2 linked regions of the Nothobranchius furzeri genome follow. The protein of the gene in region 1 interacts with the protein of each later gene in a pairwise test. Links are inferred from orthologs where the notes say so. Each region holds a gene or a part of one and is shown in the gene's direction. Other genes may lie near its edges.

Evidence for each region. The genes of interacting proteins can lie anywhere in the genome.
Region 2: the proteins of rcc1l (region 1) and nme6 interact in binary tests that used the Homo sapiens proteins (3 or more experiments, as listed by UniProt). The link is inferred for Nothobranchius furzeri from reciprocal best matches to the Homo sapiens genes RCC1L and NME6.

Annotation. Positions count from the first base shown.
Region 1 is NC_091750.1:67,888,482-67,892,235, forward strand, and holds the start of rcc1l (RCC1-like G exchanging factor-like protein), read left to right. Parts: upstream 1-926; 5' UTR 927-1,124; intron 1,125-3,585; 5' UTR 3,586-3,586; coding exon 3,587-3,754. UniProt on the Homo sapiens protein: Guanine nucleotide exchange factor (GEF) for mitochondrial dynamin-related GTPase OPA1. Activates OPA1, by exchanging bound GDP for free GTP, and drives OPA1 and MFN1-dependent mitochondrial fusion. Plays an essential role in mitochondrial ribosome biogenesis.
Region 2 is NC_091742.1:1,574,709-1,578,462, forward strand, and holds nme6 (nucleoside diphosphate kinase 6), read left to right. Parts: upstream 1-1,042; 5' UTR 1,043-1,266; intron 1,267-1,505; 5' UTR 1,506-1,508; coding exon 1,509-1,601; intron 1,602-1,816; coding exon 1,817-1,919; intron 1,920-2,126; coding exon 2,127-2,166; intron 2,167-2,700; coding exon 2,701-2,861; intron 2,862-3,142; coding exon 3,143-3,294; 3' UTR 3,295-3,383; downstream 3,384-3,754. UniProt on the Homo sapiens protein: Major role in the synthesis of nucleoside triphosphates other than ATP. The ATP gamma phosphate is transferred to the NDP beta phosphate via a ping-pong mechanism, using a phosphorylated active-site intermediate. Inhibitor of p53-induced apoptosis.

The DNA of each region.
Region 1 (3,754 bases):
CATCTCTGACGGTGATGAGTCCGCCTACAGGAGGGAGGTGGATCGGCTGGTGTACTGGTGCAGCAGCAACAACCTGGAGCTTAATGCTCAGAAGACAGTGGAGATGATTGTGGACTTCAGGAAAGTCACAGCCCCATCTCTCCCCGTCGTCCTGACTGACCTCCCCGTCACCACTGTGGACTCCTTCCGCTTCCTCGGAACCACCATCACACATGACCTTAGGTGGGAGCCATCCATCAGCTCCCTGATCAAAAAGGCCCAGCAGAGGATGTACTTTCTGCGGCAGTTGAAAAAGGTCAAGCTGCCGGCCCAGATGATGGTGCAGTTTTACACGGCCATCATTGAGTCCATCCTCACCTCCTCCATCGCTGTGTGGTACGCTGGAGCCACAGTTAGGGACAAACACAGACTGCAGCGCATTGTGCGCTCTGCTGAGAAGGTGATTGGCTGCAGCCTTCCATCTCTCCAGGACCTGTACGTCTCCAGGACTCAGGGGCGTGCAGGTCGGATAGCAGCTGACCCTTCTCACCCGGGTCACAGACCTTTTGAGCCGCTTCCCTCAGGCAGGAGGTTACGGTCCATCAGGACCAGAACCTCCCGCCATAAGAACAGCTTCTTTCCATCTGCAGTTAGACTTGTGAACTGCTTATAAACACAAAACCATGCTGGTTTTCTGTACTTGACACAACATCACGTTATCAGCCATGTTACCATTACCAGCCATTTTTTATAGCTGAAAGTTTTATTCTATTTTATTCTATTTTTAATCTTATTGTTCATGTTATATGTAGCACATTAGTACCAAAGCAAGTTCCTAGTTTGTGAATTGTTTGTTCACGGACAATGGCAATAAACCTATTCTGATTCTGATTCTGGTTTCAAATTCCCTTTAGGTCAATTATGTTGAGTCGTGGTGTTGTACCCTCCAGTCCAGCAGGTGGCGCTCTGTCCTAAGGGCTTAGCGTTAGCTGTGATCACAACTGTACTGGGAAAATGTTTGTTAGCTCTTATTTAAACTACCCTGAAATATATTAGTCGACTTTCATTTATGCTTTAGTAATTTATTCAGAGCTCATAACCAGTCGTTCGGACGTTGTAAAACACTCGTTAAAAGGCGATAAAAGGTAAGTTTACCCCTAGTTTCAGGGCTGCGTGGACACGAAGCGGAGGTGGAACTCAGTTCATTAAGCCTTAAATTTAACTCAAATCTGCATGTTTTCCTGAGCACGGAGGAGTTAGGAAACATTTTATTAAATTATCCGCATTTATAAAAGCCTTTCTAAGACTCGGCCATATTGCAGTTTGAAAAACATTTGCAATTTAAAGGTTTTCGACAAAATGTGAGCAAAGATAGCATACGTGAAAGCACCAAACTTGGTGTAATATCAAAATACAATTTTGAGAAACCTCGAACAGGTACGTAGTACTTCCAGCTGAATTTCCTGTCTTGGCATAATTGTACTTAAATTATAAAACTAAACTTGACTGAATGATACATTACTTTTAATTCTAAAAATATAAGGATGCATAAATAAAATATCAAACATGAACATTATAAATACCTCATTAAAGGTGCAGTATGTAAGAATGTAGTGAGGATTTTACAGTTAGAAAATCCCAGAAGCGTCTGCTTCAGTCATTTTGGAAGTAAGGTTATACTGAAACACTTTGAATGTTTGTGTTTATTCATTTCGCAGATGCTTTTATCCAAAGCGACTTACAATTTATAACCTATAGGGCATGTTGTGATCTGTGGGGGAAACCGGAGGAAACCCATTCATGCATGGGGAGAACACGCAACTCCACGCAGAAAGGCCGCAGCCGAGGTTTGAACCTACGACTTTCGTGCTGCGAGGCAACAGTGCTAACCACTGCGCCACCATGCCCAGCTGGCTGTGGGGATTGACAGTTTTTCTCCTTTCAAAACAAAGGGAGGAGGGACATAGCTACTATTTACCATCAGTGACAGGGTTTTTCCTGGCTCAAACTGAGGCAGAGGTGGTACCATCCTGACCATGCGCCAGCACATGCATACTCTGTGTATTCAACTGACTCACTTTTTAAAAGGCAAATTATTATAAAAGACTCAATAATATACCACAACGGCTTGCCTTACTTTCTGCGCCAGCAGTAATATGACTCACATCTGCAGCGGTTCTGATCCGTAGCGCTGCAGGATGCAGAATAAACAGGATGGTGGGGAATTTTCATCCGCTTGTAGAGTTTAGTCTTTCTTAGTTTTACCATCATCATCATATATTTTTCTGTGCGCCACTTGATCGTGAGACTGCTATCCGTTAACTTTAGCATTAGCCAATCTGAGTGTAGCTGCACTTTTGATCCCAGACTTTGTACCGGTTCTGCCTTTGCTGGTTCCTTTATTGTCCTCCACTGCATCCAGATGACCACACTGTGCGCCAGTAAAAAAGCATTTTTCTTACACGTAACTTACTTTTGTTCAATAAAGTTCTGGGGAAAACAGAAATTCAAAGATGTTGCACCAGTGCTACGTTTAAAAATAGACAGACACGCACAGACAGTTGTTTTCGTCGCACTGTACAGCCCTGCTCTGATATGGAAGAGCCTGGGGGAAAATCAGGACGTCACTAGCACCAACCATAGATATGTACCAACTAGCGAGAAAAGCTATTTTTGATTTATTTCTGCAGCAGTTTTAGTGCTTTTCGGTGCACCGCTGCTGATACAGCGTCCCTCTTGTGGCGCAACTCTGCAACTGCAGTTAAAATAACATCCATATAGCTGTGGACAGAGTGAAATCAGGCTGGGGCGGCACAAAATTAGCTGGAGGTGGCTGCCACACAAATTTTAATGCAGGAAAAACCCTGAGTGAGTGTGGGGTAGTCATGTCTCCTGCGAGCCAATACTGCAGCGCCGACAATTGTAATTTGACGACTAACGGTAAAAAGCTCCTAAGTTGTTTAAAGTGGTTTCAGTAACCAAATTTTACCACAGACATTTTTACTTCATTTCTACATAATGCACCTTTAAATTTTTTTAAAACTATTTTCACATTTCAATATTTTCAAAGATATGTTTCTACAATTTGGGGCTGCGCAGTGGTGCAGTGGTTAGAGCTGTTGCCTTGCAGCAAGAAGGTCCTGGGTTCGCTTCCCGGCCTGGGATCTTTCTGCATGGAGTTTGCATGTTCTCCCTGTGCATGCGTGGGTTCTCTCCGGTACTCCGACTTCCTCCCACAGTCCAAAAACATGACTGTTAGGTTAGTTGGTCTGTCCAAATTGTCCTTAGGTGTGAGTGAGTGAGTGAGTGAGTGAGTGTGTGTGTGTGTATGTGTGTGTGTGCGCGCATGGTTGTTTGTCCTGTGTGTCTCTGTGTTGCCCTGCGATGGACTGGCTCTCTGTCCAGGGTGTACCCTCCCTACTTACCCGTTGACTGCTGGAGATAGGCACCAGCCCCCCCGCGACCCTGCGTGGACAAAGCGGGTTCCGAAGATGGATGGATGTTTCTACAAGTTCATTAAAAATGGCAAAAAAAAAACCTTTTATTTTTACAAATAATATTTCATGCATATCCTTTTTTTTCCCTGTTATGTGTGTTTTTGTCCAGGATGATGGCTTTTCCACGCGTGCGTCTGTGTTCTCGCCACATAAGCGTGAGCCCTAACCTTTGTGGTTATGCCACCCTCCCTGGTGCATCACGACCTCAGGAGAAGAACAGCACTAGTCCAGTTTTCCAGTTTGTCGGCGAGCACAGAAAGCCAACACGCAAAGTATTT
Region 2 (3,754 bases), on another chromosome or scaffold:
ACGTAGCCACACACTTATCTCTGGTGTACAGACAGCAGATTACGTCTGGTTCTGGTTGACAACAGGTGTAAGAAACCAAATCGTCCTACTGATGTGAAGTCCGCCCCAAAGTGTTTGTTCTGATAGAGATCTTGTGTTAGAGCAGCTGTAAAGCTAGTACCTGTGATGCTTTATAACATCTTTACACATTATTTCAGTGCTCCAGTAGTGATTACATAATTAATTCAATTTCAGTTTCAGATAATTTTAATAAAGTACTTTAACCCGCAGAAGGACTAAGGAAAACAAGGTCTGAGCATTCTTTGGTGAAGTCTAAAAAAGTAGCTTGTTCAAATGAAAAATATAGAGAAAGGGTTTAATGTGATCATCAAAGAAAAATATCAGGCATATAAAAATGCATCAGTATTGTTGGATTACATGTTTCATAAATCTGTATGTACTTTCTGGCATGAGAAATGTATTTTCAATAGTAACTATTAATTAGAATAGTAGCTTATTTTAAATAATTGATGAGTAGAAAATAATATTTACTTTGCAATTTAATATTAAAATAGGGTTAAAGACTTTGTTTTTCTAATGACAGTAAGTATAAGAATTTGTTATTAAAAATATTAAATTATTATTGTTTTTCCCATCTATAGAGAAAAAAAGTAGTGTACCAAAATTGATGTTCTGTTCCAAAAATGAAGTTGATTTCATGTACCCCTTACAATCTGAGTCTGTAACCTCTTGTTTTAATGCTGTTTGTTATTTACTATGATTTCAAACTTCTAAATAAATACTGTATTGTATTGTATTCCATACAGAATGTTGTGCCATTTGCAATATTTTAATAAAGTCGTTTAAAAATATATTTCCATTATTATTATTATTATTAGGAGTACTAGTAAAAGTAATAGGAGTAATAACGTTATTATTATTATTATTGTTGTTGTTATTATTATTATTATTATTATTATTATTATTATTATTATTATTATTATTAATAGAGCTATTAATTCTATTGTCCTCACATAGGAACAAACTTTACAGGTTCCGTTTCTCGGGGACGATTTTGACAAACGGACAAATCAGGAAATGGAATCGTTCAGCTAGCTTAAAGTTGTTTCATTACATTTATCGCTTAAAATGCAAACTGCTATTGATGACTACTGCATTGGAGTTTTATCAAGAGCTTCTGCAACGTTTTCTTTTACGTAAAAGTGGAAATTTAAACTGGTGCAGCGGCGTTTTAGCTTTTGCTACACCCTGAAAAACTAAAAAAAGGTCGGTATCAAAATGTATAATCTGTTATGATTTTTGTACGGTTATAAACTTTATTTTCCGTGTATATTAGCGGTAAAACGTGTCCAAAATGCTGCTACACCAGGTGTAGGTACATCTTAGGTGTTTATTAAAATAACCGAATGATTTCAAAGATATATTTTGGTCTTTTTCATTAAAATATCCAGCAGATGTTCGAACATTTGCTTTAATTTACTTCATAATTCGTGTGTATTCATTAGATCATGTTACTGACGACCACTCGCCTGTCTAAAGTGCTGCAGCTCACCCTAGCGGTCATCAAACCAGATGCTGTGGCTCATCCCTTAATGTCAGAGGTAAACAAGACTGTCTGTCCCAAAACACATGAAATGCTCTTTAATGACATAAAATCATCAGTCTTTTACTTCAAAGGGAATTTGATGTTACTTTTATATTTCTGCAGAGTATTAAAATTTTACAGCTAGTGATTTTCTCCATTTAATAGATATCTTCCAACACGCAGATGGTAGAAAAATGCACAGATGTTGTGTTTCTTCTTTTTTTATTTCAGGCTCTTCATCAGATAATTCTGGAAAACAAATTTGTGATTGTGAGAAACAAAGAGCTGGCGTGGAGACGACAGGACTCCGAGAAGTTTTACGCTGAACACTCAGGTGTGGACAAAAGTCACGTGATCAGATGGGACTTTAAAAGTTTCTGCTTGAGATCAAAGAAAGAAGCAGCTTTTTAGAGCAGGAATATCACATGCAATGTCTCTTATGAAGTAAATATGTATACTTTGGAACAACTTACATAAATTCACTCAAGTTAAAAGAATAATGTTTGAGATTTGCTTCATTTTGAATTTCCTCTGTCTACAGAGCGATTCTTCTATCAACGACTAGTTGAGTTCATGTCCAGGTTAGCCTCCATAATAATTTTTTTGCATTCTGAGGATTTCCTCACAAGAATGATATAAAACATCACAAAGTAGTTGTAAAATACTGGTAAGTGTTTAATTAGTCCACTATAGCTGACACAGATCAGCTCTTTTTGGTGTTTTAATTTCATTCTGAGGAAGACTCTGGTCATTTTCTGGAACTTGTCATCACACTCACCCCTTCAGCACAACATCCCAGCAGCGATCGTCTACAAACATCTGGATGATTCCTCCTCTGGCCGCGAGCTCACGCTGGGGTGGAAAAAGTGCATGTAATTATGCTGTCACTATTCTTGGGTGGCAGTGGTGAAATGGTTGCCATGGCAACCATTCAAACGGGAAGCTGTTACTGAGAACACACTAAGAAAACATCGTCATCGAGTGAGACTTTTAGATGAATAATATGAGCTTCATCTGAAGGGTGTTTTCATTATATTTGGTGTGAAGAAATCAGATCAATTTTAGCCTTTTATGCCTTTTCTGAAAGCAGGTTTTCTTTTCCTTTTTCCTTCTAGTGGTCCCATGCGAGCGTATATCTTAGCCAAGGAGGACGGGATACGTCACTGGAGGGACCTGATGGGACCCACTAAAGTGTTTCGAGCCAGATACACGTCCCCCACCTCCCTCAGGGCCCAGTTTGGGCTCACAGACACTAGAAACACAACTCATGGCTCAGGTAGCAAACTTTCCAAACCTTTATCTTAAATGTTTTAAAAAATGATGTTTAATCCAAATTTAAAATGAGGAATGTTAGATGGAGCCTAAAGGTGGTCTGGTGGGTTCATCCTGATTCCTAGGGCCTTGCAGAAACTACTTTCTCAGAAATCACACATTGTCTTTTTTCAGTGTCGTTTTCATTTTTGAATTAATATATTACTTAAAGTTAGAGCTTCTTTTCTTTCAAAGTTTGGCATTTTTCACATTGTAAGCCTTTAAAATCTGTGATGTGTTCTTCAGATTCTCCAGAGTCAGCTCGAAGAGAAATCTGTTTCTTCTTCCCAGATTTCCACGTAGAAGAGTGGATGGATAAAGACGAGCCATTATTCCGATCGGGACGGATACTCTACGACCTCCAAAAACAGATCCACACAGTGTCGGCACCCAGCTGACCCCAGACCAGCTTAGAGCGGGTTTAAAGTCTGTCATGAATACACTCTGTCTTGTTTCAGTTGCTTTTGTATTAAAAGTATGGAATTTATTTAGTGTTTTTATTATTTAGTCAAAAATTGTGCTTCAAACTAAAAAAATTAAGTTTTGAGAGCATGACGATGCAAGAAACAAAATTTCTATTTTTCAAAATAAAATACTTTTTCATTCAGACAAAAATTTTTTTTCTTTTTATAATTTTTTAATAAACAAAATTCTGATTAGATTTAAAATTCAACCTTTAAAAATGTTTTTGAGGTTATTTTTGTTGCTTGTTTACTTTTTTATTGTTTACAATTTTTCAAAAAAACATTTTCAACTTTGATTTTCTGTTTGAAATATTTTTCCAGTGTTTAAGAACAACAAAATAAATTCCATATAAAAGCTCTTTAATCTTTTAACCATATGCAATCATTTCAAACA